Linked DNA regions of Caenorhabditis elegans. The protein of the gene in region 1 interacts with the protein of each later gene in a pairwise test. Each region holds a gene or a part of one and is shown in the gene's direction. Other genes may lie near its edges.

Region 1 (9,629 bases):
GAAGACCTCGGATATATGGATACAAATGAAAAAGAAGATGTACATTAATATAGATCATGAGCAAATAGACTAGAGGAAATCATAAAGGAATGCGGGAAAATGAAGGATGTAATTCTGGATTTTCGGAATTTAAAAACGATGATTTGGCGTGTAGAATTCACATGTCGGATGTGAAAACGGAATTTAGAATCATTGGGATTACGGTATAGCTGGCAAAAAGCAATACACACATCAAAAAGATACATCTACTTTTTTGCCCACATAATTGAAATATTCAGTGTTTTAAATATTATAAAAAAGTAGTGAAAAAAGGATGTGTACCATCAAAAATTTAGAAGCAGTACTTGCAGGTCGGACAAGACGCCAATATAATTATAAAGGTTCTCTCAGGACTTACAAACAATTAAAAGGTTCGAATGAAATTCAAGTTTGAATAATAGAAACGTATCTCTATCAGACAACTAACAGTACAAAGTATAACAAATCACTTCACCCGTTTACTCCACTTCTTCCCAAACGAAACCCTTGTACTCTAATGTTTCCAAACTTTTTCCCATGTTACCTACTAACTTCACGACTACGGTAAACGGTAAACGGCTCTTTGCCAACTCAATGATGCGTATTCAAATCGACAATTATCTGTGTGGGGGCTTTCGAGGTATGTGTGACACGGGCGGTGCATGCGCGAAATCTAACGCCGCTCTGAATGAAAGAGAGAATGAGAATAGCTTCCGCTTATTATATCCTTCATATTATATGCCTTTGGCTATGACACCACTTACCTATAAACAACAAATAGCCGACATATGGTGTGACAAAACTTTAGCGCAAAACGTGGGAAGAAGATTAGAGGGAACAATGTGATGAACAGTCTGTGGGGAGCTCTTGTCGGCTTGAAATGGATGAAACCTAATAGTTTTTAAAGAATTCCGGTTCATAGAATTGAACAATAAGATGATCATCCCATTTTCTAGTCCGTGTTTAATTCCAGGTACATTTCAAACAATTTAAAGTTGGAAAGTTTCTGTCAGAAGTTCGATTAATTGATTCAGTGAAACTATAATTAGAAATTGAAAATAGAAATGAAGCGGTTTCCGTATGCTATCAAGTTTTTGTGCGCCTTGAAGCGGAACGTTCTGTTTCCTACGGATTTTGAAATTCTGTGAATACTAGGGATTCCACAAAATTCGCCTCCCAACGAGAGAAGTTAATGCCTACGTGATGAAAAATTGTTCACAAGTCTGATTGAAGCACTATAGAAAAAATATAAATTGTTTTGTCAGTTGATAACTTTTTACCAACTCAAAAGACAACTGAAACATAAGCTGTCCAAGTACATAGAGCGATGGGATGCAATACTATACGGAAACATGATTGTGATAAATAATTTACAATCCAATGTAACATTGGAAGATCTATTCATTTTACTTCCCCCCCCCCCCCCCCCCACCATTTCGCTAAGTTTTCCAAAAGTTCACACCTGTATGACCCTCGTCTGTCTATCTCTCTTCAACGACCTTTTCCTGCATCGTTCTCGATATTGCGTAAAATCCCAACACATTGTCTTACTCTTGGGTAAAATCGAGAAAAAAAAGTATTTTTGATTGCGTAAGCATCAAAATGAAATGCAGGTGTTCACCACTAAAATGAAATGGAGGTCATGTTCGTACCCTGTGGTACAAGCCACAGAGAGTTCAATTTATATGATGAGCATTTGAAGAATTTTATTAGGTTCTAAAATACCATGAGCCTGGCAGCTGGAAAAATATTTTACTGTTTTTTTTTTTGCTTAGAAACCTAATACTATAGACTACACTGAATTGGTTGTGACAACCTACTGAAGAACAAGAGGGGTAGAACATTAAATAACGAATCTAAGAATTTACAATCGGTGTTACAATGTTAAAGTTTTCAGCAACTAACTTCAAAGAAAATTAAAATTTTAATGAATCAAGGGATATTGGTTTTTTGGTTCGATTTTGTTCTGGCTCTCCGAGAGAGAACTATATGCCTGATACTGATATATAAAAAATAAAGTTGAAAATGAAGTTTGTAAAAAATACAGCTTGAAATTCGTCAGTTTTACGTTTGTGGTTCAAGCAAGTCTGGAACCTAGAGTTTCCCTAAAATAATATTTATATTTAATTTTTCACACGACCTGAAGTTTTCTCTCAAAACAGTCTACTACATATTTCACATAGAACCCCAGACTCCATCTAACTTTTTGCGGCAAAACTACCATTCCTCTGCTCAAAACTTTTGCTCCAATTCTTTTCATCATAAAGTCTTTACTGATGACAATGAATGGTCAAGTATTCTCAGGGATGTCGTCGGGTCTTTTGAGCTCTTTTGAGTCTTCCAAAACTCCTTCAACTTGTGCCTCCAAAAAGATTTGAGGAGGCATTCTGAAGAATGGGAGCAACAACGGCAAGAAGTGTGTGGTGATTGTGCGCGGGATGAAAAGAGAACAAAGTTTTTGGGATGAGGTGGATGCTCCGTGAGCAATAAAAGGATCCGACAGGAAGGGAGTTTTCAAGAGTAATATTGACTATATAGGGCAAATATAATAACATGACCAAGGATACAGAACTGTTTTCCGAAAAAACCAGAATCCCAGAAAAGAACCACTTCTTAATTGAGAAAGTTTCAAAATTTGTTCAAGTCAAACTGCAGATAAAATGTATTGAAATTAAATAAAAATTGAAAACTCCGAGTTAAAGTTAAATTAAAAGATGAGTAGAGTGTGGTCAATCATAGTGGTTGCTTGAAAACTTCACACACTAGTAAAGTTTACAGTGGTCTAGGTTTTCAGATTTATAGTTTTCCAAAATAAGTTAAACATTTCAACTACAAGAGCACCTCAGTTAGATTTTCTGTACTCTGAACAATGTTACTTGAGCTATTAACATAAAACTACCACTCAATTGAATAATTTGGCATTCACCTGGATACTATGAAAACAAAAAATTGAATATTTGAAAAACAGTACACTAGAAAAACTCTCAAAATCAATCAGGGCGTGGCTTATTGCATCGTCTACAGTATCCCTCAGAGTCGTTTCTCTTCGCTTTCTCTCCGTCGGCTGTCAGTGGTGGTCGCTAGCTCCGCCCATGATTTGACGACGTGACTCGCCTTCGCCTTTCCGACTGCCTCTCACTCTCGCCTTAAGAAGAGAGAATTTGTCTTTTGGGAATCTGTGTGCTCAATATTCCGGAATTCTTGAATTAATGAATCTGGCGCCAAGAATGATGACTGCGGTTTCACAGATGTCGGTTCCAAGCAGTAAGTCAATTTTAAAAAGTTAATCGTCAACATCTAGAATCAGAAGATGAAAACTTCTACTTCGAACTTTCTTGGAAAAATGAGCTTTCTTAAACTTCCAGGCTTTAGCTGTAGAAAGCTTTTTTCCAATTCCCAACTTCAAAAGAAACTCAGATTTTAAAATTGGGATCTTGAGCAATTAATAAACGTAGGATGAGTTGCCCGGTGGGCATACTTCACATTCTTAGCCACATAAAATTGTTATTTTCTCATTTTAATTTCAATTTCAGAGTAGATTATTATTAATTTGAAATATTTAGGGAAGAATTTCCTAAAAATGGGTTTGGAAGTGCATAATATCGAAAAAAAAAGTGGGAGCTTTTTTGGCAAGATACATACGTATAGGATTTTGATACCTTCACAAAATTTTGAAAACCCTATGAAATACTCCTGTTTTTTTTTAAATATTTTTTTACTACCCATTGTCTTCAAATTTAACAAAATCTGAACCTTGACTTCTTCCATGGGATAAATCCATTAATATACAAACTACAGTAAATCCATGTATCTTTATATATGAGTTCTAGAAGCCTTAGTGCAGATGGGTTACTGTAGTTGTACCTAAACTAGTTTGTGTGAATGAAGAAAGAAAATGAAGAAATGTCTAATGTGAATATCATAATTTGAATGCATATCAATTTCAGTGTGAGAAAAAATTTCTAACTGAAAAATTAAGACATTATTTCAGAACCCTGATTTCAGAACTAAAAAGTCACATAAAACTTTCATAAAAATTCCTTTTTTTTTCCTAATCTCCCCGGCACGAGAACTCCAATAAGTAAAATAGGAAGTCATTAAACATAGTGACTCAATATTATGGTAGAAATGATTAGGTGTGAATTATGAGTTAGGTGATGGAATTAGTACAAGAATGGAAGAGTTTCTGTGGGAGATGCAGGTGTTTCGGGTCAATTGTGACACGTGGCACCTGTGGATTTAGCACCATTTAGCTAGAACTAGAATTGATTTGAAAGGTCATGATGTTAAATAAAATTAATTTTTTAAAGTCATACGAACAACATCAAAACTAATACTCAATATCCAAGAAGTAGAAACTCAATTTGAAATATTGTTCACTTCTTGCCTTTTTCTTTCAACAAATCCATTTCCATTCTGCCTTCATTCTCTTTTCATATTCTATTAATTAGGCAGGCAAGAGACACAGGAAGTGCTGAATAATTGGAGTCTCTCCTTCTTGGCTTTCTTGATTTCCTCATTCTATTTCACACCTAAAAATGATTATTTCTTCAGGTCGAATTCTATTGGATGTTGATTGTAGAGTCTGTGAAGATCATTCGTCGGGGAAGCATTACAGTATTTTTTCCTGCGACGGGTGTGCTGGATTCTTTAAAGTAAGTTTTAATGTTTATTGAGCTCTCATTTTTTAGATAGCTTAAAATATTCGAATTTGAGAGTAAATTTTAGTGGAAAATTTTTAAAAAAGTATTATCTAGACGCGAAAGTTTCCCATTTTTGCTCTAAAAATACGGTAACCGGTCTCGATGTGAATTTTTTTTATTAAACGGGAAAAGGTATGTGCCTTTAAACTGTACTGTAATTATGTACTCTCGTTTCTGCCGAATTTTTCTCCTGATTTATTAAAAATGTATGTGTTACATCTGAATTTTATTAAAAAACATATATTTTTATCGAAAAACCATCCAAAATTCGACAGAAACAAATTTATTGAACTACAGTACGTTTTAAAAGCGCACACCTTGGTTAGACAAGGTACTAATTTTTGCTGAAACTAATTGTTATATTATTGAATTTCCGGATAGATAAAAATGTGTTAATCTTCAACAAAAAATGTCTACAATCATTTTGCAACATTAACTTTGTTCTGCTCCGATTATAATGTATGTCTAGGATTTGAGACCTCATGAAATATTTTTTCAATGTGAATTGACTTTCAAATTTCCTTAGCATAATTATCATTGAAATTGAACAACAATTCCAAATTTCAGCGTTCAATCCGTCGTCATCGTCAATACGTGTGCAAAAACAAAGGCAGTCCATCCGAAGGACAATGCAAAGTGGACAAAACACACCGCAACCAGTGCAGGTGAGTTCTTAACGGTCACAGATTAGTGTTACGATCCCCTTTTATGCTCTTTACGTTCGAGTCCATACATTGATTGATGACACTTGGAGAATTTCAGAGCTTGCCGACTAAGAAAGTGTCTGGAAATTGGGATGAACAAAGATGCTGTCCAACATGAGAGAGGGCCTCGTAACTCAAGTTTAAGACGACAACAGATGATGTTCGATCATGGATCCTCTCCTAATTCGGTATGTGTTTGTGGGAATCTTAAATTCGGATATGTTACAAGGACAAAATATTTAATAATTTTAATTAAATTTATCGATTCTAATTTAGTTTTGAATTCATAATGACTTTCAAAATAGTTCCATTTAAATCTCATGATTACCGATCTTTCTCTTTCTCACTCACAAAAATCAGTGACTAAAGTGAAGTGAAAAAAGGATTTTGAGTAGAATTAGTACAGTAATCCGCAGGTGGATTTTGGTCGAGTTGACACCGACGCGGCGGCGACGAAAAGTAAAAAAGGTGAAAAGTTGTCGGTTGCTGTACAAATCTACAGTACCACCTGACAGGTGATTTGTCACTCTTGAACATAGTCAAACATTTTACTGGCGAAGGGAACACCTAGGATATAGAGCATGGTCAGAAATATGATTGCAATGAATTGCAATTTTCTACAACACGGTAACTTGGTTGTTGCCGGAAGTGCTGAGTATTCGTTAAGTTGGCAATTTTTTGAATTGGCAATTATCGAAGAATTAAACAAAACATTTTAATTTTTTTGTGGTACGTTTTTCTCAAAACGTCAAATTTCAAAAAAATATCCTCTAATTATCAGTTAAACACCAAATACGTGCCAAAACCGTGACAGATTCTTTAAAAAAGAGCACCTTGAAAAATCAGCCAGTTTCAAAAACTTGTGAATATATGTGTATTCTGGGGCAGATGTTTTAATGTTTCTATTTGTATTCGGATACAAATTACTCAATAATATTGTGCTCTTATGGATCTTAAGTGGGGACAACATAGTGTCAAATGATTATGTTGCATAAGTACTTGTTAGGGACAGCTGATTGGAAGAATTAGCAAATATCGTATACAAGAGGAAATTATGTCTAAAATTTCTATAATTAACTTTCAGTGAAAAAGTTAATATTATTAAGTAGATGATTTTAATTTTCCTTCATTTCAGCCGGAAATGGGATCAGAAAGTGATGCAATAATTCTTCCGACATCATCAATGAATCGTGACACAGTGGCCGGTACTGCTGCTCGAATCTTTTTTGCACTTGTTGGATTTTGTCAGAATCCTTTGAATGGAGTACCTAAAGAACGGCAAATGACAATGTTTCAACAAAATTGGGCAGCACTTCTTGTTCTCCATGCAACTGAAACACGTGCCATAACTTCTAAGCAAATAAGGACTGAGACGATATCCGGTAGCTCAGAGCAAAGAAATGCGGTATGCAGTAATATGAATCTGAATATTTTGAAAAATTAATGAATGTTCAGGTTGCTAACGCGTTTGAAATAATTGAACGTTTACAATTGGATAATAGAGAATACATGATGTTGAAACATTTCACAATGTGGAGAGATACACCAAGTGCAATTCAAATTGTCTTTCAGTTAGCATCTATTCAGAATTTCACACATAGAACCGAACCGACGAGATATATCCAGTAAGTTCCTTTTTTTATTTTTTTTTTCAATTTTCTTATTTTTGGAATAATGTGAGACTTCACTATAAAGGTAAACGCTGTTTTTCTGAGTGGGTTGCAACGATCAAAGTTAATTAAATATTGTATTTGCTAGTTTGAAGGTTGCTAATTCTTTTTTAAAATTAATTAATTAACCAATTGAAAAAGTTCATTTATAGTTTTTGTACGATTATCCTATTCAAAAGTTCATTTTTCGGCTCAAAATATAAAAAATTCCACAATTAAAAAAGCAGTGTTTTTTGTTCTCACAAAAAATGCAAATTATTTCCTATTTGCTTAAAAAGCGAAATTGATTATTGAAAACTAATGAAAACTAAACGCTCTAGTACCATCTTTCCTTCTGAAAACTTCACAGTCTGAAACCTATTTCAGATGTATAAATGCAATTGCCGCTATTCCAACAACTTCAATAATTGATGTTCTATTCCGCCCTTCAATTGGATCAGCTTCAATGCCAAGACTTATTCAAGACATGTTCAAGCCACCACAACAACCCACTCCTACGTCACTGTTTCCAATGGCAAACTTCAATTTGAACTTTCTATTAAAACAAGAAAAAACCGAAACTGAAGAGGGTGAAGATATTGAAGAAGAGGATGATGCGACGAGTAGCAATCAATTTGATGAAAATTCTTCTACTGATGATAGGTATGATGAGCATTTATTAGTACAGTGGATTAACTGAGTCTGTTGCAGATCTGTCGGAGAACTGGATCCCGTTCAACTTTTCTTGGCTCTTAATTCCTCAACTCAGCCTTCATCGGCATCATCCCCTTCCTCTTCAAGACCACGTCATTCGATTCGATCAATAACTGAATTATTATCAATTCAAGAAGAAGAGAGTGTTAATGTTGAAGAGGTTTAGATAGTAAATTCATGTTTCATATACAGTAACTCAATTATTCTAAGTATCTCTTTTCATTGTCTTTTTCACTCCGTTTCTTGCCTCGCCCGGATTTTCATTGGATTTTGATTTATACTTTCAAAATTTCATTTTTCAATTGTAAATTTTTAATTTAAATTTAGAGAAAAAAAATGGTAAGCTTTAAAACTAATTTATTATTTTCTGATTTATATTGTGAACAGATGAATAAAACGTTTACAACAATGGCAATTGGCATACAAACATCATTAAAAAAAGGTGAATCATACAGTTTTGAGAAGACTACATATGATTCGAAACATAAAAAACAATAGAAATCAATAAATGATGGGAGAGAAACCGAGAGATTTATTGGAAAATGGAACGGTTGAATGTCATATTGTGTCATCGTCGTTTTCCTTGTTAATGGCCTCGTTTCTTATCATATCCATATCATTCTGATATTCCCATTCAACTAGATGACCAAATCATTAGCTGACTGATTTCCCCCTTTTTAATGATTTGTTTATGGTTTTGTCAATAGTTTGAACGCGTTACGTTTTTGTAGATAAACCTGATTATGCTAGAATATTTTTTATTGAGATTTATTGACTAATTTAAAGTTTTAAACTAACAGAACAACAACCAATATTATAAAGAAAATGCTTTAAACTCATTTTTGAACATCCAGAACATCCGAAAAATAACCAACATGGTTAAGATTTTTCAAAGTTTTTAGTCAAAGTTTCGGTATCTATTTGCAATTTTCAAAAAACATGGAATATTTTCAGTAATTGCTTTTTCGAACTCCCAGACTGTTTGAATACAAAAATTGAAAAGCAAGTAAACAATAAAAAATTGTAGATATTTTTTCAAAGACTTTCAAAATTATAGGCGTAGGCTTCACTAATTTTTGACTGTCAGTAAAATATTTATTTCAAAAAAATTTTAAAAGTTTTACCATAATATTTGGGCATGGGCATTTTACTTTTAAAAACGATTTCTAAAGAAACCATTTTTATATGTAAAACAGTTTTGCTCAATTTTACCAGTTATCAAAATTTTTCAACTGACACATATTTTTTATAGTTTTGAAATTAAAGATTCTTTAAATATTGAACTAAATTAAACTTAAAAACAACTTTAAATATTGTGCAACGAACAGAGAAATGTGTAGTCAAAGTATAGTAATGTTTTACAATCACAACAGTGGAACTATGGAAAAAAATCTGTTTAAATAATGATTTTACCTATTTTATGAAATTTTAAAGATATACCCAACATCTGCAAATAGACACTTCTTATTAGACCAAGTGTTCACTTTTACTAATCATCTGTGGCATTTCCAAACATTTACATCTGATTTATTGCCTTTTCCTCCAATTAACTTGAAGAAGAAAGTTCTATAGATATACCCATTTTTGTTGAAATAAAAAAAAGCGAAACCATCACGAAACCGTATTCGTTTCGCAGCTAATTAACACCAGAGAATGAGGAGAATGTGGTTAGATGGGGAAACATGAAATCACAAAAAGCCTGTCTCTTTTTTCATTCCTTTCTCCTTCTCAGTTTCTTCATTTTCTTTCTGTATGTGTGTAATCACATTCTTATTTTTTTTCGCGTTTCTTGTCATGTTCATTCTAATTCAATTCTTTTGAAAGAATCTGATTGTGATACC
Region 2 (8,485 bases), on another chromosome or scaffold:
GTTACATTTTCTGACTTTCTTATCGCCTGCCCAGTGATATCTTCTCGTGTTTGACCCACTATGGATCATCATCATCATTTTTATTTGAATCAAAATCATCGCGCATCTTCCTCTCTACAACACCTACTTTCCCCGGGGCGGGAGGCAGAAAAGATTGCTAAATAGATTATGTGTGACTATGGAAGACGTAGAAGACACACGGGAAGTAGATGAAGAGAAAGGTGAAGCTGAGAAATTGAACGAGAATCGAAAGAGAAAAGAAACACAGTTTACCCTTTCTTTTTCTTTTCTCTTACTTTTTGGTTTTTTTTATTTGTTTTTTTTAAGTTTTGATGTCCGAAATATATAATCCTGCTGACATGCTCATAATTATTAAAATGTTTCAACAAAATTAACGGCCAACTGTAACTCAAGTGCAAGAAGTTTTTGAATAATTGTTCTTCATAATTTCAAAAGATTCTGTATGTTTCAACAGAAACAAACTATCAAAAACAAGGTCCGCTCTGCCGCTCTGCCATTAGAGGTAAACTTGTGGTTTCACAATAATTATAGATATATCCGAAACTTTAGAATTATGTATATAGTTTTTCAGATAATTTCACAAGTGACAAATAACAGTCAATAATAGATTTTTACCTCACTAGACATCTCCACGTTTGCCGTCTTCTCACCTTTTTTCCCGCCTCGTGCCCTCTCTTGAGCCGATATTTACTAATCGATATCCTATGTAAAAGACACCGGCAAGTTGGTACCATACACTCCCATTTGTCATCTTGCCGCCTTGCAAAGGTTTTTTTTTTAATGTTTAGTATACTTTTGAAGATGTACCAAATTTTTGGATTTTGTAGTTTTGATTAAATAGTCAATTAAAACTGCATTTAGCTTTTTAGTGAGTTTTAAAGTTTTTTGAGGCATGATTGTAAATACTTGGTAAAATTAGAAATCAATTTTTTGAAACGTTCTATGCTTTGATGTCTGAAAATCTAATTTTTTGTAATTTTATTCAAAGAGATTGTTGACCAATATCGTGACCTCCCTTCTCTAAAAAAATTTCAGTGTTATGTTCTCTTGTATCTGAAACTGTTTTTTGTTGCTGTTGTAATACAAGACAGCTTTCCCTCCTTCCTCTCATTTCTTCAAGTCAGTAGCCGTCTTCCTCTCGATGATCTCGAGACACTTTCACCTCTTCTGCCCCCTCTTTTGCCCCTTCCTGAGTTGAGAACCGGTTCCAAATTCTGCCGATTTGCGATTCTCTCTCTCTCCTTCTGCGCATCAGAAGCTGAAGGCATCACCGAGCGTCGAGACTGTGAACACTTTTCCTCTTTTCTACCTCCAAAAAGTTACATAATACAGTTTTTTTGGAGGAAAGGTGTAAGGGGGCAGAAGTCATGATTCATTCGAGAGTGAACGCTAAATGAGATGAGGAGAAGGAAAAGCTGGTTTCGAAGAAGGATCAAGGTTACTGTAGTTATCAAGTAACCACTTGATCATAGGTTTTAGTTTGGAGTGTGCTAGTCTAGCAGAATTGCACATAACTTTCGATATCGTTGGGCACATATTTTGACTGTTTTAGAGTCGCCATGTGCATATAGTGCCCGACTTCGTTGACGATCTGTACATCGTGCATCGTAATGTCTATGAGGTACCTGCTGAAAGCATGACAAATTAACTGTGTAGGCAAAAGTTAGGAGCTCTTTTCTTTAGAAATAAGCATATTTGAGAGTTTCTTCAGTTAAAGTTAACCCAATATTTTGTTGTTACTTTTTTGATATCGAACATGGCAAGGTTTTTCACGGTCAGAGATTTTGAAATGTTCCAAAAAATACCAAAGTATGCATCAAAAATATAAGCCACCTTTTTTCAGTTCATTTAAGAATCTATTAGAATTAGAAATCTATGTTTGTCTAGATACCTTGCTTATTTCTCATTGGAAATACAATTATCTTTGTTATATTCAGAATTTCAATAGTTGAGTTTCATGTCTAACTCATCCCAAAATTCTTGTTTATCCAATTTCCCATGCAATCTAGCCACCTCAATGTACCAAGTTACTTGCCTCCTTTCGGAACTCTGCCGCAAATAACTTGGCACCTCGTGGTCCTTTGCAAAGTGCCGTAGAGGCGGTCTAGACACGCCTTTTTCAGGACGGGAGGCGGTGGTTGTAAGGAGGAAGATATACTTGTTACCATTTAGTTTTTCTCATTTCTGTTTTCTTGGCACCCTTTTTGATATTCTTTTCTATATAGTATTGTTTCACTTTCTGTACTTGGGTTTCCAAGATGAATGCTCTCTAAATGTGTCAAACCTTTTGCTCTCTGAAAACTTCCATTTCCAAACCATTTCTCTCATGACATGCCAATCTACCGTACATATACACACAGTAGTAGTACATCATCTCGTTTGGCCAATGCCAATTACAATTACCAAATGTCAAACCATTACATCATGCGAGAAGCCTCACTACCGCACTCTCGAAGTACACAGCTTCTGCTTCATTCTCCTACTTCGTTTTTGCCCCTTTCTAAAAATACCAGTTTTCTGATGCTTCTCCCCCTTATTCTATTGTGTTGTATTGTTATGTCATCACTCTTGTCATTGGGTTGTACAACATCCCTTTTCTCGAGAGAGAGAGAGAGAAATGAAAATGAGACAGAAAGGCAGTTTGACCTGATCATCTCGAAGAAGAATCAGTCAGGCTTATCATCAAAAATTGAATAGATTAAGCTCCTACGGTCATTTGCTAATTAACTTATCCAGCTAGAATCGTGGTAGTCATGATTGTTGATATTTAAGTTCTTATTTTGAATTTTTTCCTTTCTTGCCGTCTCTCTCCTTTTCCATACTTTTGCACATGTTCCAGCTTTTCTCCAGGAAAAAATTATCAGTGCTGGCTCTTATCAGTAAGCAAGTGACCGGCAACTAGAACCCTGCTTTACTATTACTTGAAAGTTTCTAATTGTATAGTTGGTTACGTTTCTTTTTGGAAAAGTATACTCTTGGTAGATTCTACCGTATACTTGTATCCTAAAGTATACTGTACTAAAGATACACTGAACGCCACCTTGTCTATCTCCTCGTAGAAATCTCTCATGGAAACGGATCGTAGACATCTTTGAATCTCTTATTCTCTCTAACTCTCGTTCTTTTTGGATTTTCCCTATATTTTCTGCCGAAATTCGGTCTCCTGAATTTCACTTTCTCTTACCTTTCTCTTTTAATTTTTCCACTTTCCGTTTCAACAATATTATTTTTCGTATTACTTTTTATTTCAGATATCAAATGGATCTCCAAAAACCGCCCAACTTCATGCTGGATTGTGGAATGGCTCCGCATATGATGCCGCCGATTAACTGGGCTGCGGCCGCAATTGCAGTAGCCTCATCGACTTCTGGAGCCACAAATGCCACATCGTCTAACTCGGTTGCCACGTCACAACAATTACAACATCATCCATATGGGACAGCAGCTGGAGGCTATAAGGTTTGTGATACGGTTTTTTTGGTTGTAAATATTGAAACAATGGGCTTTACACTTTGATAAGTGATAAGCTGTCAAAAGGACATCAGGAAGTGGACACAGCCCTTTTTGTAATAATTTTTTAGTAAACAAGGTAATAAATTTAGTAAAAACAAAAAACATGATACTTTGCACTGGTCATCTTGTTATCTTATTTTTTGAAACTTCTAGAGTGGAAGAGCAACAAATTTGAAAACTCTTTTCTTATCAGTTACTTGACATTTGCACTTTTAGAAATGTTCTCAACCTAGAAGTACCAAAAAATTAAAAATTGCTCTGAAACAAATCCATACATTTTCAGCATGCACAACAAGCGATTCCCAAATCAGTGACCCCGTATTCGGATGCAACAAATTGCAAAAAGTCATCAAATCACATCAAGCGACCAATGAACGCTTTTATGGTTTGGTCTCAAATGGAACGGAGAAAGATTTGTGAGCATCAGCCAGATATGCATAATGCAGAAATCAGTAAGCAATTGGGAAGTCGTTGGAGAAGTTTGACTGATGAGGAAAAAGCTCCATTTGTTGCTGAAGCTGAGAGACTCAGAGTTTGTCATATGCAGGTTAGTATGGGAGAATATAGTTTAATTCAATTCAATATTGATACCGAATTTTCTATATAAGTAAGAAATACAGTAATAATTTTTGAACAAGTGTATTTTCACTAAATAATTTCAAAACGTATTGTGCTGATAATAGAGGCTTCATACCAATCAAAAGTTTTCCGTAATCGGCATTTTCGGAAATTCAAAAATACGACAATTATCGAGTTCAAAAAAGTTAAAAAAAAAGAGAATAATTTGAAAAAAAAATTTGAATTTTGAACGAAAAACAAATTTCTACTATAGTCAGTGTAGGAGGTAGGTGAAACAATATAAGCTTTTCATTAAAAACTAAAAATTCCAATATTTTATTTTTGGTGATTTTCCGAATCTCAGAAATTTTTAAATATTCGACGTTTTTGGCAACTGCCAAATTATCAAATTTTAGAATATTCAAATAGTAGCTTACCTCTGTGCCACACAGGAAATACTGTAACCGGATTTTTCGAATAATTGTATTGTAATTTTAAATTTTTTCAGGAATATCCAGACTACAAATACAAGCCACGCAAGAAGCCAAAGAAGAATCCAGATGGAACACTTCAGCAGCCAGCTCAACCCCAAGCTCCACAACAGCAACAGGCCCCACCACGTGGAGCATCACCACAGGCTCGTCAACGAAAACGTCCAAACACAGATCAACAGTCAGAAACACAACAATTCCAAAACTTTAAATCAGTGAAAGTGGAGCAAGATTGGATGGGAAATGCTCATATGAGTCATGCACAAAAGATGCCATTTCATCCATCGTATCCATCACCTTCCGAGTTTGGACATGCTCCGTTGACACCTGAATCTGGATTTTATGATGACTATTTTACACAGCAACATCATCAACAGCATTTTGCATCACAACATCATAATTCGGCAGGAAGTCCCCTCAGAATGGTTAGTTTTTATAGATCACGAAATGCTTGGAAAATTCAATATTTTCAGACGAATCTTGGTATGGACATGGGAATGCCACCACAAATGATGGGGCATAATTCGGGATTTGGAGCTGGTAATCATCCTTTCTACTTGCACACTTCACCACCATCAGTTGATCAGGTACGGGTTGTCTCTTTTGCATGAGATTTTGTTTGAAGCACTTTTTGTTTGGGAGTACGGTAGGATGTAGTGGCTAAAAATTTAGAAAATTGCCAAATTTTATTTTCTGAAAGGTGGGGAATTTTATCTTAAAGAAAATAATTAATCACTCAAAATACTTTATATTTGTCAAAATTTTCAATCAAAGTTTTGCAAATTATCAAATTTCCGAAGAAATTTAACTTTATGAGAAATTGTTCGAGCCCTTAGAATTTATAGAAACACTTACTTGTGATTCAATTTTTACTTAGGTTTAGTACTTAAAACCCGTTGACTGTAAATTTTAAAAAAAGTTCAAAAATTTTTGAATTTTTCTGAAGTGGATTAAGTAGTTTCTAATACATTGTCGATATTTCATCTTTTATATTGAAAAACATTTAAATCATAAAATTCTTAGTACTGGCCATTGGATTTTGAAAATTTATATTATTAGTCCTTTTAGCGTAAATCCTACCGTACTCCATTTTCCACTACAATCCCTTCCCAGCATCCATGCTTAACATCCTAATAACCGCTTGTTTTCCTTCAGATACCTAACCCAATGATTCAGAATCATAATCTTTATAACATGTACCACTTCGCACCATCACCAGCACCAACTTCAACACCACCAGCACAATATCCTCATGAAATGTTCAAAACTCATGAGTTTCAGGACGACATGCGTAGTCTATCGTCTGGATCTTCGGGATACGCCGACTGTAGTGCTTCTGAACAATCAACGTCATCACCAAACTCGGCGGGAGTCGTCACAATGGCTACGGCCGCTACGACTACAACACATTTGGATGACCTGGAGCAGATTTGTCCAACTGTAACCACAGGCGAGCTGGTCAATTATCCATGGAGCGATGCATTGGGAATTGATATTAATTTTTCTTGAATATTTCAGACAAGTTTTTTTTTGAAAACTTCTGAAAGTTCGGGTAGTAAGTAGATCGCTACGTCCAAATGTTTTTTTTCACTGTTTCTTCTGAAAGCCCAACATTTTCTGCTCCTACCTCAATTCTAGCCTCTCCCCTGAAACAATTCTCTCTTTATCTCTCTCCAACAATTTTCGAGTGTCCCTTTAGTCCGGTCTTAGTACCTTTTAATCCCCAGCATTTTCTAGTTATTTACCACCTTTTTCTGTATTTTTCTCTTTGTTTTCCAGTATTTCCTCAACAAATCCAAGCGATTGTATTCTTTCATTTCTTGAAACCCTAAGAGTATTTCTACAAATCCAAAAAGTAATTCACTAATTTCAAATTGAAAGTATTCTTCTACAAAAGTATCGTCCCCATTTCTTTACCCATTTTTATCCTCTCCCAGCTTTACCGAGCCAGTTTTCATTCGTTCTTTCAACTTTCATCGATTACCCAATTCGCCGTTGTACTTGAAAAAAAAAATTTCTGAGATTTCAAGCACGAAATTATGATTGTATATGTTGAACACTTCCCCCCATCCCCTGCCCTCTACAATATGCCAAATGTAGCTACCCTTTTTCCCAAACCTGAAGAAATATTTATTCTCTTGTTCATCTCTAAATATCTCTTATCCTTTTTCACTCATCTTTCCAAATTTTCAGTATTGAATGAATTTCTTCCTCTTGATTTCATTTATTATTGATTGATTTATGTTTGTCTCCTTTTTCTGAGCAATAAAAATCATTTAAAAAATTAACTTGTTTTTGATTTCAAAATACATAGATTTGTGGAAATAATATACGTTTAATTAATTTTTTCTGTTCTGTAAATTAAAATTCAGGTAAATACCTAGCAATTTTCTACTATTAATTAGTTATTGGCAGCTGCGGCAAGTGTGTGACACAAATTGAAAAAACTTCCCTAAATAATGTCTCGTAAACAGTCTCGTAAAATATGTATGACATATTACAATTTAACATAACAGTTCAATCCTGGCCTGAAATCAATTTTTGTGCTGGTAGAACAATTGCTCCGTGAATACTGCAATAACCGAGCAGTCGGGAAGCCGCTTTTCTGGAACCTCTTGTTTTTTTTTGCAATGTCATTCTCGGAATTTTGGCACTTTTCTGAAACCTGCTTTAAAAAGTCACACCCTGTTTTTGGCTCCAACAGCTTTGAAAAAAAAACAACCTTCAAATAAATAGTGCATTCTATCATCCGTCCTTCACAACCTCAACTTGTCGGCATGTTTCTTTTTCTCTTTTTTTCTTTATTTTATCTTTCGTTCCAAATATTGGACATCAATTTCCGACATTTCGAAAGTTCTTTTCCCCAATTTATCGCAACTCAAAATCTTCAAAAAGTTCTTCTAAATTACTAAATCACACCGACCTCCAACGACGTTAACGGTCGTCAAACGAACCGGGTAAATTCTAAGATTGGCATCTCGAACACGCGACCGGCGCACGACCGTTTTTTTTGTTTGAATTGCAAAAAAAAAGACGAACCGAGTTGTTTTTTAAGTCGGGAAAGGGATTCAGTAGCACTCCTACATAATGATCGAATTGCAAGCAAGACCAACAGAGTCAATACTGTATAAACATCCTGATTACATGAATTAAAAAAACAAACCCTTAAAAACAAATCGAAACGCATTGATGATCCATGAAAGCTATGCTGATGTAACAAATCCTTCCTCTCCCACCCAAGAAACAAGTTTCATCCGAAGGTTCACCTATGTCAGAAGGTGATATTCTCGTCGTTAGCCATTCTTATCAATTCATTCTTGTTTTCATCCAGTTCCACGACTTCTCCCTTTCAAAAGATTTTCTCTTTCGCATTTTCATTTTATTTATTTCACTTTCGTAAAAGATTCGAAAATGATTTTATTTTTATTTTTATTCCTGTTGTTAGGATTTTGTATCGGTTAGTTTTAAATTCAATATTTAGAGATTACATTGTTAAATTTATGTTTCAAAAAAAATCAGAAACTTTAAAAAATTTGGCAATTTATCAAATACTTTGGCTGAACTTTTTGTGATATCCTAACATTTTTTTAAGTGATGATTTATGAGGAAAAATTGAAAAAAGGGAAAATATTTAGAAAATTTCCAGCACCATTATCGGCCCAATCTCCATCGACTTCCGATGCTCCGGGAGCTTTGTTGTCATCTCTCGTAGGTAAAAGCCATCAAAAACTACCACTGGCTCCATCAATGGAAGCTCTTGAACTGATGGGTGTTCAATTTGTTGATGCTCTCATCAAAAAAGGTCAAATGGAAATGGCAAAAGGAGCATTTAAGACTCAATTAGAAGTTCTAGAGAAAGTACATCCTGATCAATTCGATAAGTACAAAAAGCTAAAAGTTGA
Region 3 (7,662 bases), on another chromosome or scaffold:
CCCGCACTGCCGCCATACTCCCGAGAAGACGCGGTCTGACCCTTTATTCCCGCGTCCCCCCGTCCCTTTTCGCTACAATCGATACGTGGTGGGACCCTCTTCGTTTTTCAGTTTTTTTCATTATTTCTGTAGGATTGAACGTTATGAACACTTTTTTTAGCAACATAATATTACGGATGACCTATTTCTCAATTTTTGCACAACCTGCACAGTTTCAAAAAAAGGTTAAGTTAGCTCAAAAGCTGATTTCTTTTTTTTATAGCTGTAGGACCTAGAACGTGTGCCACACCCAAAAGCTCAGTTTCAGCAGTTTGTTTTCAAATTGGTGGTCTAAATAGATTTATAATAATCCATTGTCACCGAGCACCATAATAAAATACTCCAAATACTTTTTTAAAAAGATTTTTCAAAATTTCCAAAAAAATTAGGAATTTTTGTTTCACAACTTTTAAAAACAAATTTTAAAAAAATCGTATTGTTTTTTTAAATACTTTACATTTAATTTTGGAGGTTAATTTCCAACGGATCTAGATCAAAGTTGGGAGAGCAAGCTGGAATAGTATAATACTCGTAGAATAATTTTTTGAGTCTTTAAAACCTCCAATTGTCTTTCCCTCTTTTCGCTTAAAATGGCTGCCTATATACCTATAGGGTAGGCCTATTGGTTTCCTATGCCTGCTAGTAATACTTGAATCATTTTCCATTTACCTGTTAAACTTGCAAGAATTTTGAAATTCGTAGATCCAGATAAGTGCAAACATGGAGTTGACGCCAGAAAGCAGAAAGTAGGCGGTAGGCAGGCAGGTCAGCAGACAGGCATGAAGAGTACTAAAGCCTACTATAACTTACTAAACAAGCCGTAACCCGTAGGTTGAAATTTTTGACAATTTGATAAAAACTATATACCCTCTATGAGATGAGGTAAAAGGTGTACTGTAATTAGAGGATCGAGAAGTAAATTTAATGTTTCGAAATGCACAATTTAGTGAGTTTAGGTATTTTGACCATTTCCACAAAACTCTGAAATTTTGATAGCTCACAAAAATGATGTCTTTTAGCTTTAATCCGTTGGTGCCTAAAGATTAAAATTAAAATGATGTAACCAAGATAGGAATATTATTTTCAAGCTGAAATTTCTATCTGAGCCCTGTAAAACTGCTCCAAGAGATCTTTTTTGCAGACTTCTGTGATTTTAATAGACGAAGAGAAGTAGGCGAAAATTCCGAAAGCTTTAAGGAAATACATTTTTGAATCTGAAATTTTTTTGACTTCACTTGCGCGAGCAATAGATTCAAAAAACTTAGAACTTTAAAAAAAAAAATGAAAGTCTTCAAAAAATCTATCTTTTTTGGAGCCTGATGTTACATTGTCTTACTTTTCTTGTAAACTTGAAAAATCTAGATCTATAACCACTAAATTCAGTGAATATTTTCATTTTTCCCATCCATCACCTTTGTTTTTTGCCGTACTAGGTGGTGATGGTGACACGGGAATATGGAGAAAAAAGAGGCGTAGAAGAAGAAGAAGAAGCGGTGACGATAATAGGTACGTTGGTCTAAAGAAAAAGAGAGAAAGAGCTTGTTTGGGTGGTCTTCTTTTCTTTTTTTTCTGCTTCTACTCTCGCTCCCCCGTCCTTCTCTCACTCCACCACGAGCGCCTCTATTTTGACTGGCGCCGCGTCGGTCATCTGACTGCTTCTCTCTTTTTTTCATTCTTTTTCTCTTTTTCTCTCTATCCATCTTTTTTCGGCGCGCGCTTCTCCTGGCGCTTCTCGTGGGCTCTGGGAGTCAGGTCCCTTCTGCTTTTTGGCTCCGCTTCAACGGAGTCATTGAGCTCACGAAAAGGGCATTCCAAGTTGGTATTTTTTGGTTTAATATTTATATTTTCTAAAAATTTAATTATATTGTTATTCATATAGTTTTTTGTAAGCTTAAAAAATGATTGTTTTCGTTAGTATCTAACCACATTGTAATAATTGAATATTTAATTGTTTTTTCCGGTCAGGACTTTACATATTATTCATGTTAAGCTAACTTTACAGATAATCATAAGTTTATGAAATTAACAAGAAAAACCGCAAGTCTTGTACAATACTTTCGCAAGTTTAAGGGTCTGCAGACCGGCCTGGGCTTATGATTGCTCTTAGGATTAGGCTCAGGCTCAGGCTCAGGCTCAGGCTCAGGCTCAGGCTCAGGCTCATGATGAGGCCTAGGCTTAGGCTTAGTTCGTTTTTTTTCAGATTGTCTTGATTTCTTAAAATTCGCGTCATTAGACGAAATTCCCGCTAGGTATAGGCCGCCTCCGACTGCGTTTTTACTTTTTTGACCAATCTACCATCTAATTCTAGGGTTCTTTCATTATCTCTGTCACTTTTTCATTAAATTTGTATCTTTCAAAAGTGATGAATAACTGAGTTAAACCAACACAGCATGGCGCCAATAAATCGTCCGTCGCCGCGTCCTCCTCCCTCTCTCCTCCGCCGCGGCCGCTTCCCGACGCCATTCCGCATATATTTAGTGGATTCTACTGATGTGGAGCCAATGGAAACCGGGAGAGGGGAGAGGCTCCAAACCGGCGGACGGACCCCTGCTGCGACCAGCTGGCGCCTGGCGCGACCATTTTGTTCCCCCTCACTGCATCGTTTACTACTAGTGCAGTCTCTGTCAAAAGAGCACACTCTCTTCCATTTTTTATGTTTACAACAACTCGAAGAGGGCAATCTTAAACTATTCATTGGAATTTTGGAAAACATCGGAACATTATCTAAATATTTTTAAGAAGTCTACGAATTTTGAACTTTTTGAAAAAAAGCAATCTAGCAAAATATTTTCAACTAAATAACTTTTTATCATATGTTGAGGAGGTTTAGAAAGATTGAAAGCACTACAATTAGAGGTGAATTGGAATGTCCTTGTTTGCTCTCTGATTAAAAAAAATACAAGTTCTAGTAAAATAGTTTTGTAGATCCCAATCCAAACCAGAGAAAACTCATGATCTCACAATTTTGGAATAACCCTATCATATTTTTTCAATTCTCCGATGGTACCACTTCCTTTTCTTCTATTGCACCTAAATATTAATATTCCCTTTACTTTTGTTTTTTGTTCACCTTAATCGCAATTGTCACTTAATTCCTCTATTAGTACGCTTCTTGCATCTCTTGGATTTGTTATTCAAATGTTCTAAAACAATTGAGACATACCGTGTAGATAGTTTTGAATTCATCGTATTTTCCATTAATTTTCCTCTTTTCAGACCGCCTGTATGGTGGACACCATGATGAACACAAATACAGATGGTGTCACAGCGGTTCCTCCGATCTTTCCACTACCGTCGACGACACCAAACAGAAATAATAATAATGAACTGGCGATGTTGGCACAGAAGCAAATAGTCGCCGGATTACTGTTACAACAACCAACGATTGTGCAGGCAGCGGTGAATGGAACCAATTCGCAAAAACATTTGGCAGATATTGACTATACGAATGTTATTCAGGTGAGAGATGGGCTCTTTGTGGTTTTGACTCCTTGATTAATATATTGAGTTATAGATGTGAAATTGATTCTCTTGAAAGACTTTTTAGATATTCATGTTCGAGTAAGTCTATCTGTTATTTTTCAGACTCTTCAAGCCCTTGGCACTACAAATCTAAAAGCATTCTCTCTACTTCTTGATCCACAATCCCAAACATCTCAGTTAATATCTGAAGATACACGTCCATCTGCCAGCTCATCACCGTCTTCAACTGCAACTGCAGTATCTAACAGTGGACAATCAAACGCAACATCCACGTCATCATCGTCCACAGAACCCGAATATAAACCGAGAAATGTGCGAGAAAAAGTGTATGCAGATGGATATATCATGTCATTTGATAAGAAATCGTGTTGTGGAACTAAAGAATTTTGGAGATGTGAACGAAAGAATGATTGTAATGCAAGAATGCATTCAGATATCAATACACGAGAAATTGTGAGAAAGTTACATCCACATAATCATGAGAAACCGTCGCCCGAAGAACTTGCATTTTATGAGCAAGATTTCTCTACTCTCCATCCAAATTATTGTCATCCAGTGAAAAGTGTGAGTTTTTTTGAGCTAAAAGATTTATGGTGAATATTCAAAACTTGAAATATTCAAAATAGTTAGAAATAAAAAGTCGAGAAAGAACGAAAATGTATGTACGCCGAAACGTTATATGTATTTCGATTTTTACTAATCGCCCTGCTTGAACTTCCTCTAAAATGATAAATGTTAGACCAATCAGCGATTCGCTCCGCTCATTTTCCAACCAATCAGACGGAGTGGGCGGAGTTTAAAGACGCAGTGGGCGTGGATTTTCATCGCGGGGGGTTACAGGGAAACCAGCCAAAATAAAAAAGTTTTTTTTTAGTTTTCGGTAGATCCTGTAGGCAGGCAGGTAGGCACAACACTTATTGTTAATAAAACATTCGGATTATGTGTAACTGCTAATTTCATGTTTTTTGATTTAAGAATTCCAAAATTTCCCAATCTTTTTTAAATTGAAATCTTTTAGATCAACCGATCCTACATGCAACGAAAACTGAGCCGTGCCTCACATGTATCACAAGCTCTACCAATTGCTCCACAACAAATTAAAGCTGAACCAATGGAAGTTGACACGACAAATCAAACAATTCAAAACTTTCAACAAAACAATAATTTAATGCTTCTCGCCTCAATCAATGCAGCAGCAACTGCGGCTGCAGCTGCAACTTCTGCTGGAATAAGTCCGCCGGTTGTTGGACAGAAAAGAGTATCAACGACTGTGATGCCTATCACTTTGAAATCGGTTTGTTTTTCTTGAATAATTATGCTTTGTTCAAACATCATAAGGTTGGAACTTTTCAAAACTATAGGTTTGAGCCAGAAAAACGGAAATGAACTAAAAAAAATGATACGAATTTCTAAAATTCAGGGCCAAATTCGAAAATTTCGAACAACTTTGGAATTTCTTAATATTTTCAGCAACGCACAACTCCTAAAGAAGAAGAAGATTCATCTCAATTGATGTCACAAGAAGAATTCCGTATCACTTACGAATTGACCAAAAAGCTCATGGAAATGATGAAGCCAAAAACTGAAATTGGAGTTCGATGGCAAGGAGATGAAGGGTCAATTCTTTTGTTCTTATCACATGATAATGGAGCAGAAGAGAATGTCTTCTTTCCGGTGGTTGTCATGAATCGTGATGAGGTAAGTAATATAATTTCTGGAAGCCCGAAAGACTGAAAGCAGAAAACAATCAACAATTATTTCCTAAAAATTTATAATTTTCAGAAATCCCTAATCACTGCGTTAGAAGGATTCACTGGCAAACGTTGCGAAGGAAAACTTGCTCTGTGTTACTCACAGAGGGTTAATGTGCTTGTACATGAAGCGGTAAGCGAATCAATTTTCTAAGACTAGACATGAGCCCTGGTAGAGTTTTGCTACGTGGCGGTGAATATGAGAAAACTCTTCCACTTTTCGAAATTTAGCATTGATTATTTGTATTTGTTGTAGGGGAAGCTCGAAGACCTGTGGGAAAGCTCGAAGATTTTTTCGAAAGTTTGGCAGTTTGTCAAATTTATCCTACAAAAAATCTAAATCAAGTCATTTTTTTCTAAGCATTTCTGAACCTTTCAGCTAATCAGCAATTGGACACACGGAAAACTATTTCTCGTCAACACTGATGCACCGGCTCTCTGGCGTCTAACGCCCGTCGACGCTTTCGGCGAGCCTTTAAACCATGTCTAAGTGATCATTATTCAATTAATCGATAGTTTGGAGTCATGAAATTATAACTTGACCGACTGCAACGTTTCGCTGCACGCTACATTTTATTAGTTGTCATGAACCTATAATATCGAGCTCCCGGAGCAATCATATAATTACAAATTGTAAATTTTTTTTTAAATTTATTCCAGCCATTTTCCCCTCTCAATACCTCTCCCTTATCTTGTCTCTATAATCTTGTCTGTTTCTCAACAAAAAAGCTCGTCGTCAGGTCCCCCATTTCCGGATCTCATTGTGAACTTTTCAGAAAAGTTCGCAAATTTTCATATTCCTTGTCAATTCCAATCTCTATGTCTCCCTTTTATTGTGCTCTTTCCCCCTTATAAAATTACGGAAACCACCCTCTCCAACTCAGGAAAAAACCCCCTTTATATGCTCCTTTTCTTTTGATAAAATGATATCGTTCAACTAACAATTATCCCCTGATCACTTACATCAATAAATTGTTTCTATGAAATAAAAATATATATAAAGTGGACAATTGAACATGAATAAGTAAAAAATGTTGCTATAATGTCACCATTGTGTTCTAGCATTAGTATGTCTAAGTCCATGAAAAATTGAGTACCTAATCGTAGCAAAGAGATGAGAAATAACCAATTTTGTCATCAAGTTCCGAATTCATCAAAAAATATCACAAAAGAGCTCCAACATGCTCCAACAAATACTCATCAAATTTCGTGACATTTTTGTCGAGTTAGAATCTTCAAGAGCCGAATTAATAGATGTTGCTCCTCTAGTAAAAGTGAGTGTTTGTGTTTTATATGACAAAATTAGTGTTTTTTTAATTTTGAAAACTATTCTTACAGCTTGTCGATAAACTCGGAACACGGATGTTCAATTGTTAACTTTTCAGACTGGCGGTCCGCATAATTATGGGCCACCCTGTAGTAAGGGTCGGTCTAGACTCCAATTATACATTATCAAAAATATGTAGAAAGAACATGACGCTCATACAATTGTGGCTGTTACATTGACGATTACATCAAAAACGTTGCTAGGAAACAAATTGAAACGTTTTTTATCTTAAACAATAGAAAACATGTTAGCTAAATATCTGATCGAGACATAATTATTGCTTTAAGTGTGCGAAAATCAAGTTTTACTTGTCAAGATTGTTTTGACCATCTTGCAATTGTTCTTTAGAGATATGAGAGAAATAGTGCAGTTGTAAATTCGATCATTGCAACTGCAACAATCATTATCAAAATTGAATAGTGTTGATATCAAAATACATTGAAGATCCTTGAAAATTGAAGATTACACAGATGTAAGTCATTGATAAAAACTGCTTGGTTTGAAACAATGATTCAAGACTGATGATAGAAATTATTCCGAGAATTTCAGAAAAAGGTATGGCCGGAGAGTACCTTGACAGTAAGTTCGTGACTCAACTAATCGCTCAAAGCTCTATTTCAATTCCTTGGACCATTGCTTGAACCTTCTGAAAATAATATTTGTGGAGGTCAAACCGTACTGAATCATCGTATTCAATCGAGTTGTCAGCATAAGATCTGATACTTGTCTTAGTTTGAGAAGAATGAAAGAATTCATACAAACTTGCACACTCTCGCACGCGCAAAGCTTTTCAATTAACTTCAAACCTACGAAGTACGCACAAAAATGTTATCCTGTAAGCCTTCACGGTGACCTACGGCTGCTGGGAAGGCAGTCATGAGACAGGCACGTACGTCTGAATAGTTGATTTGACATGGAAGCTTATGTCGGTTTCTGTTTTCGTCAGAATGATCAGTTTCGATTTTAACACTTTGCTTTTACACTTTTTTCTCTTTCATTTCCAGCTTCTAATTCGAAAAAATATTTTATTATCGTTTGGGTGAACGTGTTTTCGCTATTTTT
Region 4 (5,014 bases), on another chromosome or scaffold:
TACAAGTTTGACTCAATTTATTCACTAACCAGAAACGTTTGGAGCTCTACAAACTACATACACTTCACACTCTGAACACATATTCAGATAGATATGATGAAAACGAATTTAGGTGTTAATGGCTCAATATGCTAAGTTTACAGTTTTGGAAAAACCTACAAATATTTGTAAAGAACACCGGTTCTTTGCTCTAACATCGCCTTCTGTCGCAACTGAAAATCAGCGAATATCAACAAAAAGTTTCGCACAAAATGTTTATTCCAATTATTTGCTGGAATCATATTTCATTTCAAATGTGCACATTATTTCACTATACCACCCAAATATATTACTTTTATTATCAAGCTTTTACTGATAGGAACCTATTGATTGAGCCTAGTTTCTTCAACTAAAATGGAAGAAAATTTACATTATTGCAACTTAGCAATCACATTAATTGCTGTTCTCGCGTTTTCTCATATTCATTACAGGCAAGTGATTCATCAAGAAGATATATTATAAAAAAACTGCAGAAAAAAATTAATTTCAGAATTTGGACATTGGAATCCGAATGTCAATCTCTCACTGAACTAAATTTTCGTTCCAAACGTGATATTCCCCTATCAAGAGGCAAAAATGCTTCAGACATCCTGTGGCTAACATCCTTGTCTTCTGTAAAAATTGGAGAGCTAATGCACAAATGTACTGAAATTCATGAATACTGTAGTGAACAAGACGACGTGCGCGGGAAACCGGGCCCTGTTGGACCTGTAGGCCCACCTGGAAAGAGTGGACCTGCTGGACCACAAGGACGAAGAGGGTTAATGGGAATCCCAGGGCACCCTGGACCTGTGGGACCACCTGGAAATATTGGAAAAGATGCGGATTGTTCTTCATGCCCGATTAGAGATGAGCTGTTGATGGAAAGGGAGTTCAAATGTCCTACTGTAAGTTTGAAAGGGGCTGGACCTACAACCTAGAAAGGTAGGTCGCAGATCGTGACTTCTAGCTGAAATATAAAGTTGTTCAAGATTCTGTGAGCTATGTAGATTGTCTAACAACCTAGCTTCTCTGGGCTTCTCAAAGAAGGAAAGAATTTACAGATTGAAAATCTGGAATGCCCGAACAGAGAAGCCATTCCAACAACTCCCTGGCCTTCAGTCACACATCAACCAATGCCTGGATTGGTTCAGCAGGTGACTTCAGTAATAACTTTCAGATCCAAAGCATATTTTCAGATCCTTTCCAACTACAGTGAAGTCGAGGGATGCGTGAAAATATGTTTGAAAAACTACACTCTCGATGAAGAAATTGAAGAGACCATTACGACTCCAGTTGCATATATTCAAGGAGTTACTGCCCGTAAGTATTATATTCAGTCTTAAAAGGAGTTGAAGAATGTTAAGATTGCCGACTTCAAAACGTTGGAAAACCTGTGTTCCATTCTCATTCTACAACATATTATGGAAGCTGGATGAGAGATGCATACCCTCCAACCGGCGATGTAAGTTTGGGAGCTTGAAAATGGAACTGAAAAATTTGCTCACACTTTATTCAACTCTTTCTGTATGTATGTTCGTGGTTCATTTTTCGGAGGCGTTTTCCGGTCGAGACGTTCGGGCATGAAAATGCTAAAAAACCGGGAAAAAGTAAAAAAAAGTTTGGAAAGCTGTCACAAACCGAAACTCACTGGTTCGCCGAGTACTGGTATACTGTACATTATGAGAAAGGCATATCTCAACATATGTATATCTTGTTTCAGGACGCTAGAAAACGATACGTAATGAACCATTTCCAAGGCCACGAGCTCATCGAATTTAGGAATGAAGCTGAAATGCGACGGGACCATGTCGGAAAAGTGTATGGTTTTCTTTCAAAATTTTTCAAATATTTGAGAACTTTTTATTCTTTTTCAGCCATCGCCTTCCATATATATTCGATGGAACAAATCATGTTATTTTCAATGCATCTCTTTTCTATCAAAGAGCAGGATATCCAATTATTGCAAAATACGAGTTCAACTCGAAACAGTACTCACAGTTTGAAATACCGGGAGCAGCTTATCGTGGGGATCAGGTGAGTTTTGAAATTGTTTTAAGTCAAAGTTTCCAATTTCAGTACCTTTATAATAATTCGATGAATTATTTTGACTTGGCAATCGATGAAAATGCACTTTGGGTCATGTTTCACTATCAGGAAGAAGCTTTCTTATCAGTAGCTAAAGTAATTTTAAGTTGTTCATTGAAATCTATCTACTAGGTACTATTCCAGGTGGATATAAATAATTTGACAATTTATGAGGCATTCAACCTCACGACAGTAAATCATACAGATGTTGCAAATGGAATCGTCGTTTGTGGAACAATTTATTTGGTTTAGAATTTTTTATTTGATATCAAGCTTGACCAATAGCAAAATCAAATCAACATTATTCCAGGTGGAAAGTGCATCAGAACAATCCACGTATATCTCTACGGCATACGATTTCTACAGAAACACATACTCCCAACCTTTGATTAAATGGATTAATTTGTACAAGAACGCCAATATGATTAGCTATAATGCTTATGATAAGAGAATTTACATCTACGATCATGGTTATATGCTCTCTGTACCTCCACTTTTGCATTGGCTGGCTAAATAATTTGTGTAGTACATAGTTCATTTACTATATTTTAAAATAAATTCAGTTTTATTCGAGAAATATAAAGTAATTAATTTATCGTGAATATCGTGAAAGTAGCTCTTTCCTATATATTTTTTCAGGAGTTTTAGTTCCCCTTTCTCGAATTTCTGTGGTGTCTCACGCAACGACGCTCCGTTTTACACACTCGCGCGTACTTTATCGTAATTCCACAAAACCTTTTTTCCATCATTTTTCTATTAATTCCATAGTTTTCCTCGATTTTTTGTTGCAATTTCAAGCGATGAGTGGAAATCGGAAGCGAAACACATCAGAGCCTCGTGAGGACGATGAAGATGACTATTCCACTAAACGAAAACGGAATAACGAAGCTGTGAACAGGTAAAATTTCATTTTTAGCCGCTAAAATCTAATTAAAAATTCCAGAACCCGACAAAAAAAACGCCAGGAAGAAAATGACACTGCAGAAAAAGTAGACGAATTAAAAAAGGAGAACGAAACACTAGAAAGAAAGGTACTTGTTTACTTGATTTTTTAATTTTAATTAATTCCCTCTATCAGGTCGAGCAGCTACAGAAAGAGTTATCATTTCTTAAAGAAATGTTTATGGCATATGCGAAAAACGACGGAAATGATGGACCACCACCACCGCCACCACCATCTTCTTCCGCCGTGTAGATAACAATTTAATCAAAGATTTATCCACCATTTCTGTAAATTTTATACAAATAACTCAATTCACGCATTCCAATAACCAAAGAAAAATAAATTTAGAAAACGCTTTACTTTCTTTTTTAAACTGTTTTTTTTTGTGTGGTACGTTTCCAACAATTTATCTTGAATGATCTTATTAATTAACTTTTTGAATTTGTGTTGTATCAAAAAAAACGTTTCTTTCAGATGACCGAAACGGAGCAAGAAGCGTTTGCTGATTTAGTGGCAGAACTGGAAACTCAAACTGCAGAAGCAGTAAAAGCTTTCAGTAAAGTTTTCGATCGGATGGAGGAAACGAACGATGACAAAGAAGTGAAATGAAAACCTCAAGATTTATTCAAAAACTTTTTTATTTACAGGGGCTTAGTCTTCTGAAGCTGAAAAACTATGAAATGACAGCGTACCTTGGAGAGTTGACTGTCCTTATGTCGAAAATGATGAAAGGAGAGTCAATTACAGTAGAACCATCTGTTAAAAGAGCTTTAAAGCATAGAGTGGTATGTATTTTAGTATTCCAACTGTTCCTAAAAAACTAGTTTCAGTTCATTGAAAAAATGAAACCAGTCGAGGATAAGATGAAACCTCAAATTGAAAAGCTACTAGGCCGGTCAAGCGCCGAGAGTGGAGCATCAAATGGTTCTTCCAAGGGAAATCACAGAGTTCGATTAGACAATATGGACGTTGAAGGAGATGAAGAAGAAGAGGAGGAAGATGAAGATGATGAGGAAGGAAAAGGAGCAAAGGAAGTTAAGAAATATGTGGCACCAAGAATTAGAGCAGTTCGATATGAAGGTATGTTCAAAAATTAGTTTTCCGTAAAGTTATGTTCATTTTAGAAGAAGACGAAGCTCCGAACAAGCAACAAGAAAAGGCAAAACGTCGTGCAATGCAAAGTAGTCTTATTATGGAACTCAAAAATCAATACAGTGATGCTCCGGAAGAAATTCGAGAGATGAGTGAGAAGAAATATCAATATGATCGTGAGAGAGAACGTTATGAGGAGGATAACTTCACCAGAATTCGATTGAATAAGGATCAGAAACGACGAAGCGAACAACTAGGACGTTCGGAAACTCTTGATGATTTGCTCAGTTTTGGAGATTATATGATGAGAGGAGAAGATGGTAGAGCACTTTCCGAAGGAAATAAAAGGTAATCTTTAACTTTTAAAATTGTCCAACATATGATCCATTATTCAGAAAGCGTGCTACATCTTCTGGTGCTGGCGGGGACACAAAACGACACAAAAAATCCCAAAAGGAACGAAAGAAAGCGGCAAAAGGAAAGAAGGAAGGACGAAAAAGGGCTATTCGCAGAAGACAATAATGTTTTTTGTTGCATTTTTATTTGCCAGTTGTTGAATTTTTTGTTAACTTTTTATTTGTTTTGTTTTACTTGTTTTTATTGTATTAGAAACAACACTTAAAAAAAATATTTTCAAAAAACAATTTCCAGAGCGGTTGCAAAGCCAAATATCTGTAAAACTTCCAAGGAAAGCTTTTTTACTAAAAGACCTTCAGATCAAAAATGGGTGGTGGAAAGTATGAGACTCAAATGTGTGTAATTATCATCGAAGATATTTTCGGAAAGGTAAGAATTTAAAAACTTTCTTTTTAAACTTTTTTTGAATTACAGATTGTGGCGAAAGTAATGGAGACGATTCTGAAAGAAAGCTGC

The links.
Region 2: the proteins of nhr-67 (region 1) and sem-2 interact in a two-hybrid assay, tested with the Caenorhabditis elegans proteins (one large-scale study listed by BioGRID).
Region 3: the proteins of nhr-67 (region 1) and flh-2 interact in a two-hybrid assay, tested with the Caenorhabditis elegans proteins (one large-scale study listed by BioGRID).
Region 4: the proteins of nhr-67 (region 1) and cebp-2 interact in a two-hybrid assay, tested with the Caenorhabditis elegans proteins (one large-scale study listed by BioGRID).

The regions. Positions count from the first base shown.
Region 1 is NC_003282.8:11,166,589-11,176,217, forward strand, and holds nhr-67 (Nuclear hormone receptor family member nhr-67), read left to right. Parts: upstream 1-3,159; 5' UTR 3,160-3,245; coding exon 3,246-3,282; intron 3,283-4,572; coding exon 4,573-4,673; intron 4,674-5,288; coding exon 5,289-5,386; intron 5,387-5,483; coding exon 5,484-5,613; intron 5,614-5,821; exon of another isoform or gene 5,822-5,951; intron 5,952-6,560; coding exon 6,561-6,830; intron 6,831-6,880; coding exon 6,881-7,050; intron 7,051-7,461; coding exon 7,462-7,737; intron 7,738-7,785; coding exon 7,786-7,954; 3' UTR 7,955-8,203; downstream 8,204-9,629. UniProt on the Caenorhabditis elegans protein: Orphan nuclear receptor that binds DNA containing an extended core motif half-site sequence 5'-AAGTCA-3'.
Region 2 is NC_003279.8:5,202,916-5,211,400, reverse strand, and holds sem-2 (Transcription factor sem-2), read left to right. Parts: upstream 1-3,272; 5' UTR 3,273-3,279; coding exon 3,280-3,480; intron 3,481-3,817; coding exon 3,818-4,081; intron 4,082-4,600; coding exon 4,601-5,008; intron 5,009-5,056; coding exon 5,057-5,170; intron 5,171-5,864; coding exon 5,865-6,092; 3' UTR 6,093-6,871; downstream 6,872-8,485. Other genes in the region: osr-1 (TPR_REGION domain-containing protein), read left to right, coding at 7,995-8,040, 8,230-8,485. UniProt on the Caenorhabditis elegans protein: Probable transcription factor required for embryogenesis, vulval development and cell fate specification of the postembryonic mesoderm (also known as the M lineage).
Region 3 is NC_003281.10:4,948,869-4,956,530, forward strand, and holds flh-2 (FLYWCH transcription factor 2), read left to right. Parts: upstream 1-3,255; 5' UTR 3,256-3,264; coding exon 3,265-3,498; intron 3,499-3,624; coding exon 3,625-4,086; intron 4,087-4,540; coding exon 4,541-4,816; intron 4,817-4,992; coding exon 4,993-5,220; intron 5,221-5,304; coding exon 5,305-5,406; intron 5,407-5,652; coding exon 5,653-5,763; 3' UTR 5,764-6,303; downstream 6,304-7,662. UniProt on the Caenorhabditis elegans protein: Probable transcription factor. May bind to the promoters of target genes, including micro-RNA genes, in order to repress expression, and acting redundantly with flh-1 and flh-3.
Region 4 is NC_003279.8:6,250,178-6,255,191, forward strand, and holds cebp-2 (CCAAT/enhancer-binding protein homolog 2), read left to right. Parts: upstream 1-2,904; 5' UTR 2,905-2,906; coding exon 2,907-3,004; intron 3,005-3,049; coding exon 3,050-3,137; intron 3,138-3,184; coding exon 3,185-3,301; 3' UTR 3,302-3,407; downstream 3,408-5,014. Other genes in the region: cof-2 (Olfactomedin-like domain-containing protein), read left to right, coding at 394-470, 530-926, 1,083-1,175, 1,218-1,341, 1,386-1,483, 1,742-1,839, 1,896-2,055, 2,098-2,202 and 2 more; lpd-2 (LiPid Depleted), read left to right, coding at 3,524-3,649, 3,697-3,834, 3,880-4,129, 4,174-4,489, 4,537-4,663; let-611 (DNA-directed RNA polymerase III subunit RPC3), read left to right, coding at 4,865-4,927, 4,973-5,014. UniProt on the Caenorhabditis elegans protein: Transcription factor that binds to the promoter and the enhancer regions of target genes. Regulates expression of genes involved in fat metabolism, including ech-1.1 and fat-5.